Linked DNA regions of Caenorhabditis elegans. The protein of the gene in region 2 interacts with the protein of the main gene of each other region in a biochemical or structural test. Each region holds a gene or a part of one and is shown on either strand. Other genes may lie near its edges.

Region 1 (7,734 bases), on a different chromosome or scaffold from region 2:
GGCCTATTTTAAAGAAGTTGTTTCAGTGGGGGTTTTGTCTTGATACACTTACAATAGTCCTTTTTTAAGTTTTGAAAAAAAAAATTTCAGAACACGTTCTGATAAAGTGCCCAGTTTTCGAAAACATTGGATTGTTTTTTTTAAATTTGGCCAATATCGTATAAATAAAAATAAAAATATAATTGAATTATGTTACGCAGAAAAATTCTTACAAAATTTTTTACAAAAGTTGTGTTGAAAAACTAATTATGAGAAAAGAAAAGCACAGGCAATCGGAAAGTTCAAGAAATAAGTGCGCAGCATTTGTTTCCATGTGATCAGCCGTCGCAGAAACACTACATTCTTCTTCTTCGCTATTATTTTTCAGGGATATCAGTCGAAAAATCAGAAATCGAAAATCAAAATGTGTTATAAAAGTTGTTCAAATTGTTTATTACAGTATTACACATCGCGAAACTCGTAACGGACTTGATCCCATAAATCGCAATATTTTTGAATGACACCAAGCGTCCAGACTTTGTCGGCTTTCGCTTTCTCCACAATCTTATCGGATGTCAAGTCGATATCAGATGTACCAATTTCTTCTAGCTGTAAAAAAGAACCGAATTAGCTTCATAACACTGTTTTAAAATTTAAATTAATTACCTTATCCTCACATATCCTAAGCATATGGAATTTAATATGATGCATGCGGTGAAGAAAGTCAACTGCCATTGAACACCGACCACACGATATCGCATCAGATACAATTGGATATTCTTCATCGTCTTCATTTTCATCATGGATATCGCTTGATAGATTCTCCACAAGCAGTTTTTCATTGCAAGATGTTTTGTCGAAAAAGTGAATCACTCTCCGCGGCTTTTTCCGTTTGCAAATCTGCAAAAACACACAGTTGTATAGACTTCATTCGTTTTGATGATCAGTTTCTAAATCATATAATTTATGTCAACTAACCACTATTTCCAATATTCTGCATATTCTGTAGCAAACAATGAACAATCAACTAGATGTTCTTCCTTTCCCTATCTTATTATATTTACTGTACCTGACACTTTGTAAAGCAGTGAAATGATGATTTTGATATGGCCAATCTAGTGTATTTCGCAATCCATCGATTGTGTTTCGGCTCGACAGGTATGCGTTTTTTGATCAGCCCTTCGCATTGTTTGTTGTTGGTTTCGAGTTCTGCTATTGAACGAGAATAGGTCCAATCTGAAAAAGTGGCGAGTTTTAATCGAATTCAAACATTTTATTTTTTGATTTTTCTTTTGTGATATTATGTTACACGGGAGCCGTGATCTACGTTTTATTACATTTCAAGAAGTTTTCTAAGTTTGCACATTTTGAAAAGTTTGCTATAATTTGCATGAACAAATTCAAAACATATTGATCTTGATAAGGCTTCATGTATTTTGTTACAAATTTTTCAAAAACTACCGCAGAGCTGTGCGCAAAATCATTTCGGCGAACAGTAACCTGTAGACCTTATTTGAGATATCGTTCAAATTTTTTAACAGAAAAAAAAAACAATTCTATGCTATAAACACTATGTGCATCAGTGAGCCGCCGCTCTGTAAATTGACCTAAAGGAATTTTAACAATTGTTTTGAAAACATATGGTTCTTTATTTTCCATTTGAATTTTGGGCATTCAAAATGAAATAAGCTTAGCGTGTCAGAAGTCCTTCTGTAACCACCTTACCTTTATCATCTATGAGGCTTTCCACGTGGGTTTTTGTAAACACCTGTGTTAGGTACGCGTTGACAAGAGTGTTTAGGGAGACTCGTCTTGGCTCCGTTAAAATTGAATCATCGTCTATTGGCTCAACCTTCGTCTCTTCTGCAACATTTATTTATAAAAGAAGGTGAAACAAAAAAAAATTATCAAAATACCTTCAAAAAACACAGTCCCAGGATTCTTGAACCATTCCACAGAGGACGCCGGAAACAGTTCGGCAAGGGGGACTTCGGGCTCCACTGTTGTCTCGGAACGTGTCTGTTTGATAATTTTCACAGCGACCCGGAAGTATTGTGATGAGATTTGTTCGCACCATCCCGAATACTGAAAACTGTGAAATATAAGCTGCGCTTTCTCAAAAATCAAATCTTACCGTACTACTACTGCGATAGACTAGTCGATTAGCTTTGCTATCTCTAAACGGAGGAAACTTCTGAAGTAAATTCTGATTGTCAACTCTCCATACAGCGCAATCTTCTTTCAGCATGTCAGCTTTGCATATTACATATGTTCCTTTCTGATAATACACAAATTGGGAATTAAAACAGAACGATCAATTCAAGCTCACGGGTAAAATTCCTTCAGCCGGGCCAAACATGCTGACGCGCTTCTTTTCTTCATCAGAGACGCATGGACCAATTGAAAAGTCCAAGACAGTTCGTCGAAAAGTGGGATCATTTTCTTTGTGCATTGTGTAACTGAAAATAGGACTTTCATAAATTGAAACAGTCGTAGTTTCTTCAAAACTACATATTGAAAATTTGGTTCTATCGCCGCGCCCGACACTTTTTGGGTTCCGCTCCCGGTAGGCGTTTTGGCGCCTGCATGGAAGCCCTACTTTATTTTTTTATTTGCCATGAAGAATAACTAGACTCCCATTCCCAATCAAATTCCACTTACACTTTCTTTGCCGTTTTCCTCTTCCTATACGCCACATCTTCAAAATCCGAGTCGTCATTATCACTTTTGTTCTTCTTTCTTTTATATCGCCTTCTAGTCATTGGTTCTTCATGCTGGTTTTGCACTTGCTCAACCCTTATTATAAATTTCGGAAGCATTGGCTCTTCTCGTGTCACTTTTCTCATATTCCTCACGCATTCTGTGCTGGTAACTTGTTCGGGTTTTAAGAATGCGCAAACCAGTTGCTGATCTTTTTGAGCACGAATTTCATCAGCTGTCGTGAAAAATGCTTTCTCTGAAATAGGTAATTTTGATATAAATATATGGTATTGTAAAGTTAAATATTACCATTAATTGTGTCATTGAAATTCGGCTGATGAGTTGCTGATGGTTTGGAATAATATTTCTTACTACTATACTCCTTTTCTTTATCATTTCGAATTGAAAACCCTACTCCAGTTATGTATACACTTTTCGCCTTCTGTTCAATCTTCTTCGTAAGCTCAGGCTCACGCCTCAAATCTGCCGAAGGCCCACCAAACACGAAATCATCGTCATCCTCAAACTCAAAAGCATCATAGTTTGGATCTTCTTTCCGAGCGTTTTCTCTTGCTTCAAGGGACATGAGGGCAGCTTTTTGTTTGTACACAGGAACCTGAAACATTTGAATTTTTAAAAACATTTTGTAAATGTGGATTACATTTTGTGGTTTAACGAAGTTGTTGACAAAGTCATCCTCTTCTTTTGATGCAGCGGTTGGAGCAGGTTTCGGGACTCTTTGTGGAGTAGCTGTAATTTAGTTTTGATTAATGTGATTTGGAGTTGGTAAAACTAATTCTAAAGACAAGTTACTTAAAAATGATATTAAAAAGAGATTATTGAGTCTGAAGAATGTTTATTCAAAAATAAAAACGATGAATTTCATTTTGATAAACATTTTTTAACGTGGTTTGCAGACATCTACAAAAAAATTTATTCCATAAAAATTGAGGTCTGGTTAAGGAAAACATAGCGAGACATGGGTGCGCAACAATTGCCGAAGTTTCAGAATGTCGAAAATTCATAAACCGGCATATGCCAAAATTGCCGATTGTCGGAAATTTTGAAATCCAGCAATTGCCGGAATTGCCGATTGCCGGAAATATATAAATAAACTTGATACTTTTTGAGGATTTAGGAGCCTAAACATGCATTTTAATCATTAATTTTCTATTTTCAAGCTCAAAATGATTTATTCCTTTAAGGATTGACCATTTTCTTTAAAAAAAAGACTAACCGAATACTAACAAAAAGGGGTGGAATGTTTTCAATTTTATTAAAATATATTTAGGTTTGAAAATCGCAGAACGTGTCCGGCAATTTAGACAATTTTGGCAATTTCGCCAATTGCCGGAATTGCCGGAAATTTTGAAAACTGGCAATTTCGGTAATTTCGCCAATTGCCGAAATTGCCGAAAATTTTGGAAACTGGCAATTGCCGGAATTGCCGGTTGGCGGAAATTTCCGAAATTACCTATTGCCGGAAATTCCTTATTGCCGCGCGTCCCTGTAGCGATATCTAAAATGGGGAAGATTGTCGGTGAAAAAAATTTCCTTCTGTGGTATATCATTATTCCAAACAAGTGTATTTTTCTCAAAGCGAAATACCCATTAGTTTTACTAAAAAATATACTCTTACCGTCTTTACTTGTGGATGGAACATCATGAAATACCATTTCACTCCTTGGTTTCGGTACTGGCTTTTCTTTGGTGGCGGCTTTTGCAGATGTCGATGGTGCTGATATTCCAAATATTTCGTCAAATGTCAGTTCAGCTTGGGGAGAGTCGGGTGGCGTAAACTAGAAAAGACTGACTAAAAATGGAAATTGATTGGAATTTTTTTTTGTAAAGATAGTAGGTAAAGAAACTCATTCAATCATTTTAGTTTTGAACGAATTTTGTGAAAACTGTAATTTTCTTTTTTCCAGACTCATCCTTTCCCACTTACATCAATAGGACTATGAACACGATCCGCCGAATCGGGCCGTCGATACATCGAGCCGGACCTCACGTCACTTTCCGAAAGTGATAATCCAAAAATATTGTCTACATCATCATGCGCTTCATCATCAAAGTCGATCGCGTCCCCTTTCGTCGCGTCCACCGATTCCGAAGACGTCGGCATAGACGAAGCAGCAGATGGTTCCGAAGGTTTAGTCGCCAGGCTTACAGTTGCCGTCAGTGGGGTGGCACAAGATACTGCTGGAGTACTATTGAATGTGGTTCCAGCTGAAACTTGTGCAGATGGTGTTGTTGATGGTGTCTTTGCTTGTTTCGGGTCGAGTAAAGAATCCACACAAATGTTTTTCATCCAATCTTCAACAGCAGCTTGTGCCTGAGGTATGGTCGTTTGTGCGAGTTGGGTAGTTTTCTGAAACTTTATCACACATGTTAAATATAATTAATTTATTATCCAAACCAATGCCACTTACTAGATTTAAATTTTGTCCTAGTTTGTTTTCGAGCATCATAGAGCTCTGAACAGCGAGATTATGCATTGATGTGGTGGGAATCATAGGTTGAGATGCGTTCTGAAATTATACATTGAATAAATGAACGGAATTTACTTTTTAATTAAATTTTTTTGAGAAAGAGAAAAAGCGGTTGAAACAAACCAACTTACAATTTGTGTTCCTGAAGTAGTTGGAATGGATGCGGAGAACACGTTGCTTGAGGTAGATGGCTCATTCCCAGTCATTGAGTTGAACTGCGACATTGTAAGACTTGCTTGAGGTTGCTTCTGGTTTCCGTTGTTAAAAGTGTTGTACATCGATTGCATTGCTCTTAGTTGGAACTGAAACAACAAGAAGTATACAAATTTAGTTTCGACTAGCTTTTAATAAAGTTATGTAAATAAAATAATAATTCAAGTGCAAAGTATGCGACAAAGATAGTCAAAATGATATACACAGCTCACGTCAGATTTATAATCCTATCTTATTTTCAAAAATGAGTAGTTTAACATTTTTGTCACTCGAATATATTTTTGCTAGAATTTTCCAACTCACTTGCTCAATAAGAAACTGATTTTGGAGATCGGTTTGGAGATCGCCATGAGGCAACAACTGATTGCCCATGCTGTGCATTTGCAACGACTGAATTGTTGACATAATTGCGTTGGTATTTCCATGAGGAATTCCTGAATAAAAATGCATATAAAATAAGTTTAACAATAAGTTTTAAATTTTAAATTTTAAGTTTTTTTTTTTAATTTCTTATTGCTTACCATTAAACTGCCCGGAAAACCCATTTGCCGAAAAGTCGGGCAGCAAAGATTTTTGATTACGTTGATCCATCGAATTTCATTAGTGCAGTTAGATAATCTACAAATTGGCTATTAATACGGAAACCAAACCTATAAATAAATCTAGTAAAACGCGGAAAGCAGCAAAAAAAAACGCTTTCGTTACACAATTCGAATGACCGCCATCCTATTGATTTTTCGTCCGCGAGAGGAGGTCGGCGCAAAAGAACACATCGCAGTCGGTCGCGTGTGTTTACATGTGAGTAGTGGTTAAGGATCGGAGAGTGCAGAGAAAGAGGACAAGTCGACTGGACGGACGGACTGAGTGACTGTGTAAGGGCGAATAGGCACGCGGGTGTAATTATATGAAGGGTAATGGAAGAGATAGTGGCTGTACGGACGAGGATGTTTAAAACGTAGGCCATATTGATGCTTTCCGCGATTTTTAATACAGGAGACTAATCAAAAATAGACATCACGATAACTCATAAATGCATCTTTTCAATTATTACATTGTAAGGAAAAAGTAGAAAAAGCTTAATGTATTCACTTGATTTATTTTCAGGTTTAGTTTTTCCATCCGCAACAAGAATTTTAAGGAAAAAAGAAAAATGAATGAATAGTAACTTTTCAAATAGATAATACAAAAATACTGAACCTAAAAGTTTAAAAAATGTCTTATCAGGTTTGTTTCATTTTAAGTGTGCTGTGCATATGTGTTACCAACAGGAATCGTTTTTTTTTTTGAATGCATGTTTCAAATTCAGAAATTCCGTTGTCAATTTTTATTTTATCCGTAACAGAAAATAGAGAGAGTATACAAAATTACCACATATTGATTTTAATGAAAATCACCACAGTGAAGTCTTGTTCTGTTTTCGGAATTTCGAAGAGTGGATTATTTAAAATTTTTATTGCATCCAGTTCAACATTCTGAAAAAAATTTCTTGTGTTTTTTGAAATGAATAGCGCAGTTACAAAGACGGTGGTACATCGACCTGAAAGAACAGAAAATTTGCTATTTTTTCTGGTAGGACACTTTTTTGCTACTCGCAATTAACCAGTCTAAAATAATTTCCACACGTTTTAATGGTGGTAGCAAAAAAAAAATTTCTTGGATTTTTTTTGGAGTGAATAGTGTAGTTGCAAAGACGGTGGTACATCGACTTGAAAGAACAAAAAAAATTATATTTTTTCATGTACGGCACTTTTTTGCTACTCGGAAAATTCGAATTTCAAAAAAAAATTCAATACGGAGGAAACAAAAATAGCCATATTTTCAAAATAGGTATTTTTTTGCTGCCAGTGGTTAGACGTTTAGTGGAGATACACTTTACAAAGACAATTTGTATTTTTGATTAAAAAACAGCATAGTTTGAAATCTGCAACGTGTTATATACAGGTCTTTTTCATGTTTCATTCATTCAGTTAATTCGTCTTTGTTTTGGTAATAAATAAATTACGATTTTGTTTTGATGTTACGTTATTGCAAAATTAAAAATTCTTGATTTGTCTACGAAACTATGCTGTCAGAACTCGACAAAATCTAGTTGAAACATTTTTCATTCAGTATAAATAAAATTTTGGATTTGATGTGCTTCAATAAAATGTAAAAATTGTTTTATTACAAGTTTAAAGGTTAAACAATAAGTCAATACCTGAAATTGAAAAAGACAAGACCATTGCATTAATTTTCCAGATCAGTATTATTTTGAGAATTGCTTTAAAACGTTAATGCTAAAAACCTTTATTTGTAGTTTTTAAACCGGCTAAAGTGAGAAGTCTTATACATATGTTTTCCGCGTTGTTGT
Region 2 (7,811 bases):
AGTTAAAAATGTCATCTATAATTTCATAAATTTATTTATAACCATAAAAACCATTTAGGACTAATTAGGCATTAAACAAGGAGATCATACACATATCAAAATGAAGGCATTAAGAACAATTTGAAACATGTTACAAGAAAAGGCAAAGATAGTAAAGGGGTTTTTTCAAAAGTGAGGTTTTAGGCAGTTTCAGGACTATATTTATTATTGTACATTCCACGGATTCCATGCATTATTGGAATTATCTTGATTATTCGGGGTTCCAGTCGGTGGAAGCCCGGCTGCTTGTAGTTGTTGTTGAAGTTGCTGGAGTTGAGCCGCCTGAGCCAAATCCATTTGTCCGTAGGTTGGAAGTGAGAATGGACGGAGTTGCTGTTGTTGCTGCTGTTGTTGTGGATCAGAGTTTGTGGAGAGATTGTTGAATTGCGGTTGGACAGCACTCCGGTTATGTGGAGATCTGGAAAATAATGTTTAGAATTAATGCGGCACTGCTTTTTGCAAAATTTACAGGTAACAAACCTCATCACCAAGTTAGGTGTCATCAAAACTCCATGTGTATTGTCTGATCCTTCAGGTCCACCACCACCACCACCTCCTTGACCACCTCCAACAGAATCTCCCGGTGAATCCTGTCGCTGCATCTGATGATGATTGTCCCGTAATGGAACATTCATCATAGACATACAGCCAGGTGATTGGGCATGATGTTGATGTTGAGATGGATGAACGACTGAGAAGGCACGCTGAGGAGATGAAGGGTTGCCGTAAGTTGATGGTCCACCGTAATCGTTGGGATTCGGAGAGTACGTCTGGAAATTGATAAATGAGAAATTTCTAGATTCTAAGTTTGTATAACCCCAAACGGCCGATTTTTCAAAAATCCCAAAAACCATCAATTTTTCCTTGTCGAAGCAGCTGAAATATAGTTTCTATTAAACTATAACCCGTTATTGCATATTTTCGGTACTAGATCTTGCTGAAATTCGCCGATTTAGGCACTTTTAAAGTCGATAGGCATCCAAAAATCATCAATATTGGCATAATATGACCAAAATTGGATGCTTATTGACTTTAATAGTGCCTAAATCGGCGAATTTAAGCAAGATCTAGTACCGAAAATATATGCAATAACGGGTTATAGTTTGAAAGAAACTATATTTCAGCTGCTTCGACAAGGAAAAATTGGCGAAATTTCAGAAATTCTGTCGCTTGGCTCTTCGTTAATTCAATAAACCTACCGAAAAGTCATTAGTAGCCTGCCAATTGCTAACAGCATCATCAGAAGTAATTGGACGGAACAGAGCATCCGGATTATTCACAATATTGCTCGCGGCAGCCAACATTCTCTGTCTCTTATACTTTCTTCGTTGAGTCTTTTGGAATGTGAGCACTTCCGAATTGTGATGCTTGATGATGTGCTCCTAAAAATTATGAAAATTATCAAAAATTATCATCTAAAATGCTCAAAAACCTTAAGCTTATCACGCCGACTAGATGCATATTCACACTGATCACACTTGAACGGCTTCTCCTCCAAATGAATCCTCTCGTGACGGACCAGATGTGATTTTTCGATGAATCCACGGCCACAGATCTTGCAGAGATGGGCGCGAACCGCCATGTGGGTACGGAGATGGGCCGCCAGTTGGCTTTTTTTGGTCGACGAGTAGTCGCAACCGGCTGAAAATTAACAGTAATGTTTTCAGGATCTTTAAATATGTCATTTTATAGTGTAGTTTTCAGGATCTTTAAATATGTCATTTTATAGGAAAAATAACAAAAAATTGCTCAGATCAACTCCATAGCTGTTTAAACAATACTCCATGTTTAAAAACTCGAAAAAATTACGCACAGCGTGAAGCGAGCTGGGAAAGGCCCTGCATTGGAGAAGAAGAAGCTCTGAGAAAAGTTCTCTGCAAAAGCGCAAAAACTAATGAAACACGTCGAAATGATTTTATGTCGAGCGCGACGATAAAACCATTACCAAATACCTACAGTACCCCAGTGTGTGTTCGGCAGAAAAAAAAAGTGAAAGTGATATGATCCACAGATGATCTAACCACTGTTTCTATCTTCAGCCGCCGTTTTCTTTCGTTTTTTCGACCATTTTTTGTGCGGAAAAGGCGGCGCTGTGTCGCCAAGGAGAAACGAAAATTAATGGAATAGTACGGGTGATAAGGAGACGCAGCGAGGGGGGTTTTTGGTTGGAAAAAAGTAGAAGTGAACTGCGCAAAAGTCATCCAAATGATGGATCGGTTGGCAGGTGATAACGGAACTATTCTGGCATTCAGTGTATTCCAATGCGTGGTGTTACAGGAAATACAAACTGACCAATGTGACAGCTAAAATTGTCTCCAGTATGTTGACGACGATGAAGGGAAAGATGATCGGCGGTTTTGGTGGCGAAACCGCAATCCTCACAGATATAAGGCCTGAAATTTGGAAGAATTTGATGGAAATTGTGAAAATTCTGAATTTGAATAAAAGTCGCCTTGTTTGGTTTTGAGACAATTATTATTATTGCCTCCAAACGTTACTAGCAAAATTGGAATTGCCTCAAAATCAGATCTTGCATGGTTTTTTATTTCAAATTCGCACATTATTAACTTTCAGATCTCGAAATTTCATAGTAAAAACTTACCTAGGATCATTATGACTAGCAACATGATGATCCAATGTACTATGCTGTTGGAATCCTCTTCCACACTCTTCACAGTGTAATGATCGATCATCGAGTACAGAATGCATTCGTTCGTGAGCAAACAGTTGAGAACGAGTTCGACCTTTCCATGCACATTCACCGCATTTGAAGAAACGCTCGTCGGCTGAAAATTTGACAATTTTAGAGGGTTTTTTTGTTTCTTTTAGAAAGTAATTTTGGAAAACAATTTTATTCAGCCGTTTTTTTTCGGTTTTAATGTGTTTCCTTCGGCAAAGTCAACGTGTGTCTGATGGTAAATTTAAAAAAAAAACAGAAAATTGAAAGCTTAGCTATTCATTCGATTTTTTGGAGATTAATTAAAAATTTAAATTGATATTGTTGGTAAATTCTGAAAATATGAAAAAAACATTATCGATCAATTTTTTTACAAAAATTAATTTTCATAATTTGGTTTTTTAAATGAAAATAGGTTTATATTTCAAGAAACATTGTGAATTTCAGAAAAAGAAACGATTTATCTGAAAATACATTTAATTTTTTTGTAGTTTCAAAAAAAAAGAGTTTTTTTTTCAAAATTAAAAAATGTACGTTTTTTTCCAAAATTTTTGTAAAAACTCACTATGCTGAAGCCTATGGGTCAAAAACTCTTGTATCTCATTTGAAGTGAACGGACACGTTTCACATCGATACGGTATCTCTGTCCAGTGCTCAGCACAATGAAGATAGAATTGTTTGCTCCAATTGGTTTCAAATTCACATAAATGACACATATAATACGTATTGCGATTGTGATGACGAGCTTTGTGCTTTTCGAGAAGCTGAAAATATGAGGAAATTGTTGAAGAATCGATCGAAATATTTTACAACACTTTTCTGGTTTTTTTTTTTTTTTGGTTTTTTGGAACATAAAACTCATAAAACCAGCAGAAGATCGTTCGTACACGAGTTTGTTTTTACATTTTCCCAAAATATGGAACTTTACATCAAAATATTTTTAAAAAAATAAATTATGCATGAAAGTTTCCAAATTGTGCTGTAATTCTTTAAAAAAATATTTTTAAAGATATATATTATATAGACACAAAAATTTGCAATTTTCGAGCCTGGTCTCGACACGACAAATTTTCGTTAGAACCGAAAACAATTATGCGCCTTTAAAGATTACTGTACGGTGTTTTTGTTGATTTTTCATAGTTTTTTTTTCTAAAATTTAAGCTTTTTAAAAACTATTTAAATTTCGGAATATTTGGTTGATAAATAAATATATTTTATCGAAAAACTAAAAATAATCGATAAAAACTCCTCAGATTGAAAATACAGTAATCTTTAAAGGCGTAAATTTTCTTGATGTAGCCAAAAATCGTCGTGTCGAGTTTTGTATATTAAATAAACGCCAAAATATGAAATTTTCGCCAAAATCTGGTCAGGTCTCACCACACCGACAACAGGTTACTGTAGCCCATTGTTCGGTGTGTCGAGACCTTTTTGACGTCTAAAAATAGAATAAATCATATTGACGGTTTAAATTTGAGAAAAATAATATTTTTTTCGCATTTTTTCAAGGTTTTAATTGATTTATTTTTTGTCAATACCTCCTCATTTGCAGTCCGCAGTCCACAGAAAATACAAGTGGACGGTCCATTCTCATCAGGTTGATCTTCTTCATCTTCACAATCATCTGGATCCAAATTGTCAACTGGTCCATAGGTATGACATCCTTCCAATGAACATGTAGCATATACACCATCAATTTCGTCTTCGTCGATCCATGGAATACCTGGAAATTTTATTGATAAGGAATTTGACAGAAGATTTCTTCAATTTTTGATTTTACAATTTCACAAAATCCCTTTTTTTTTGAGAAAAAAAACCAGCTCACTTTCATTTTCCGTCGCATTAATCGGTGGAATTGGGTGCAAATGATGTTTTTTCATTCCTTTTGGTCGTTTTAATCTAAAATTTTCCATTGAATTTTATCAATTTTTTCATATAATCACTAACCGCTTCTTCTCATTTCCCGGCTGGAATGCAATCTTCATTTTCAGTCGATTATTAACATCATTTCCGTATTCAACAACTTGTGCAGATGTTGGATGTCCATCAGCTATATAATCATCTGGATCCTCTTCAGAATCACTTGAATCATAAATATCATCTTCAAATTGAGATGGATCGTGGAGAATCGGAAGATCAACGATTTTCTGACGAAGACTGCTCAGTTGAGTCGAGTACTTTTCCATAAGCATGTTATTTGTTTCCCTACAAAAATTATTTCATCAGTAATAATTTTGTAAACTTTAACAACTCCACTTACATGACATGTAGTAGCAAAAATCGACTTTTCTGACTTTTCGATAGCAACGGCGAGTAATCCAGAAGAAATTCCAGTGTGTCAGCTGAAACTTCTCGAAATTCGCAGGATTCTAGTAGTAATCGGAAGATTTCCTCTCGCTTCGATACTTCTTCACCGACCCAGCGGACTATTAATCTGAAAAAATTACTGTTTTAGTCATTTTGGAACGAAAAAACTCACTTTAAATAAGTGTCAGAAGTAATACAATCCACGTATTTCGGATCTCCAATGAGTCTTGTCAGTTGTGTATACGTGTAACCAATTATATCTCTGGATTCCAGTAAACATCGATTAAGATTGCTGTCAAAGTAGTCTGTAGCAGACTGAAAAAAGAAATTCGAAGTTTCTCGCTTTTAAAGCTTTAAAAATTCAAATTCTTACTTTCACAAGTCCTGGTAGATTATATCTCTGAGCTAACGTTCGTATTGATAAGCAATTGGCCGCGTCTAGATATCGATCCAAATAAGCTGCACAATACACTTTTAGCTTCACTATCTGAAAAAAACGGAATTATAGCAGGAATAGTCGATCGAAAAATCAATAATATTACCAGAAAATTATTTGCAAATCTCAATAGCTCCGAAACACTTGATCGATCGATAATCACTGTTCCACTGTACATATAATTGAGGAATAACTCGAAAACTTGTGGAGATTTGCTATTTATTGTGAGCTGTTCCTTTGTGATTTTGCAATATTTGAAAATTGCGTCAAAATATGGACTGTGAGCTGCTAAAATGTTTCGATGAGCCGCAAATGATTTGTTTTGAACAACAATTTCCACATCACAAAATCGGCCGGTTTTTCGTTGATATTGTAATCGTTGGAACACTGAAAAATAAAAGTTAATTTAATTATCAAGCCAAGATTGAATTAAATACAAAACTCTTACACATATGACTGGTTTGCCCAGAACTATCATCAAATGTCATTGGACAGAGCCCTGTGTTTTCGGAACTAGCTACTAATGTCATCTGAAATTAAATTGAAATAATTTTCATTGCGATTTTATAATTTATTCGATGGGAAACTCACATTTTATCGAGGAAGACGTCAATAAACTTAGAATAAATGCTCCGATTCAAATCGGGTGAGGAGTGTGCAGACGCGCTCTACTGAACAATCTAAAAGATTATCGATTTGCAAATATTATTTCAATGGATTTTTAACGATAGTTATATATTTAACGAAATTCAAATTTTATTCGAGATTTCAAAAAAAGAAAATATATATCTGAGCATAACGACACATAAAAAATTTAAAACTGAGCGAAATTCCAATTTGTAACATATTTTAACAACGAATTAAAGCTGATGTAGACATTGTTCTAATCGGCGTTTTTTTAATGAATTAACAATATAAGTTAGTAATAATTCAAGAAAGAAAAAATAAATAATTAATCATCAGGAACCGGCGTTTCAATTCTAGAACCATTCTCGTATTCTCCATATGGTGTTCTATAAAATTGAATGACTTTCACAACGAAATCATTCACTTGTTCGTCTTCTTCTTCGTATTCTCCAAAACACGGAACGCCATTATTGTGAATTGTAGACTCAAAATCTTTGTACTTTGTATCGCTTTTATTCTCCAGAACAATCAACATCGGAGTAACAATTTCAGACGCATGTGAGACCGGCTCCACGTCTTTCAGAAATTCAGCTTCAGGGTTTTCTGTATCAACTGCACACGTTGTGAATGGAAATTCGAGCATCGGCCGTACGAGTGCACATCCTTTATAGAATTTCTGAAAATAGTGAATTAAAAAATATGAAAATCCATGAGACGCTAAATTTTGTGATTTTCGTGCCAAAAATAGAAAAATATCGGGGTAACGACACGACATTTTTTGAAAGTTAAAGGTGGAGTACCGAAATCAGAGACTTTGTTTTTTTTTAACTATAATGTCGCAAAACTGACGGATCTATCAATAAAACTTTCAAAATATTTCTGAAGAAAACATGTCGTGTCGAAACCGGGTATTGTATTTTTCACCAAAAATCGCAGAATCTCGCGTCGATGTAATATCCCACCTTATGTTTGATAATCAGACTACACGCCACAAAAGATCCAAATTCAAATCCATACAAGTAAATATATTTTTCATCTAACCGCGCTCCGTGTCTCTCGAGAACTTCTAGTACAGTTTCCTGTAAAAAAAATCATAAAATGAGGAAAAAAACGAACGATTCTCTACATGAACATCATTAATACATTCCGAACCACAATTCTTTGGAAAGCAGGTTCCTGGAATTGCTATAAATGGCTCCCGATAGTTTACAACTAGCACACAGAAGCCACAAGTTACCATTGTAGAGAGCACAGGGTCAACGGTACTGAAAATTTAAATTTAATTTTAAATTTATAAATCAATTCTTTATAAACAGGGAAAATTGCTATTTGAACATTTTTAAATTAAAAAAATAAAGATAGAAAATTGCGGTTGAAATTGAAAGCTCGATCCGTGAATTTTGCAATTCTTTCGATGCTTTTTTTGTTGATTTTTCAATAAATTTTGAGTCTAAAGAAAAAAAATCTACCTAACGGTGAAATTAGGTTCTAATCCGGAAAAGGGGACCACGACCAGCGGGAACTTCGATCCGGGAGAAACACATTCCGGCAACATGTAGAGTATCGCAGAATTGCCAATTTTTTGAAAACTCATTGGATAAATGTGAAAATTGTGAATCGTATCGTTTTCTGGCTTGTGTGTGCATAACAGCGATGCCGTGAATTTACCATCACTTTGTGAGCCCAATTGAGAATGCCAAAGACGAGAATAAGCGTTTGCTGTGA

What was found. Proteins that work in one complex are often made in the same cells at the same time.
Region 1: the proteins of eor-1 (region 2) and eor-2 form a complex in vitro, tested with the Caenorhabditis elegans proteins (one study listed by BioGRID).

What each region holds. Positions count from the first base shown.
Region 1 is NC_003284.9:14,601,333-14,609,066, reverse strand, and holds eor-2 (EOR-2), read right to left. Parts: upstream 6,003-7,734; 5' UTR 5,976-6,002; coding exon 5,906-5,975; intron 5,819-5,905; coding exon 5,688-5,818; intron 5,474-5,687; coding exon 5,303-5,473; intron 5,211-5,302; coding exon 5,112-5,210; intron 5,057-5,111; coding exon of another isoform or gene 5,051-5,056; coding exon 4,628-5,050; intron 4,479-4,627; coding exon 4,319-4,478; intron 4,199-4,318; coding exon 4,154-4,198; intron 3,430-4,153; coding exon 3,341-3,429; intron 3,296-3,340; coding exon 2,989-3,295; intron 2,936-2,988; coding exon 2,641-2,935; intron 2,439-2,640; coding exon 2,309-2,438; intron 2,258-2,308; coding exon 2,114-2,257; intron 2,065-2,113; coding exon 1,896-2,064; intron 1,843-1,895; coding exon 1,705-1,842; intron 1,216-1,704; coding exon 1,049-1,215; intron 880-1,048; coding exon 646-879; intron 589-645; coding exon 442-588; 3' UTR 413-441; downstream 1-412.
Region 2 is NC_003282.8:4,793,188-4,800,998, forward strand, and holds eor-1 (Zinc finger protein), read right to left. Parts: upstream 6,001-7,811; 5' UTR 5,990-6,000; coding exon 5,908-5,989; intron 5,847-5,907; coding exon 5,566-5,846; intron 5,511-5,565; coding exon 5,397-5,510; intron 5,339-5,396; coding exon 5,196-5,338; intron 5,151-5,195; coding exon 4,977-5,150; intron 4,922-4,976; coding exon 4,664-4,921; intron 4,616-4,663; coding exon 4,542-4,615; intron 4,440-4,541; coding exon 4,255-4,439; intron 3,481-4,254; coding exon 3,282-3,480; intron 3,226-3,281; exon of another isoform or gene 3,077-3,225; intron 2,826-3,076; coding exon 2,642-2,825; intron 2,433-2,641; coding exon 2,332-2,432; intron 1,681-2,331; coding exon 1,472-1,680; intron 1,422-1,471; coding exon 1,239-1,421; intron 810-1,238; coding exon 520-809; intron 458-519; coding exon 205-457; 3' UTR 7-204; downstream 1-6. Other genes in the region: dpf-7 (Dipeptidyl Peptidase Four (IV) family), read right to left, coding at 6,412-6,762, 7,049-7,165, 7,213-7,351, 7,556-7,811.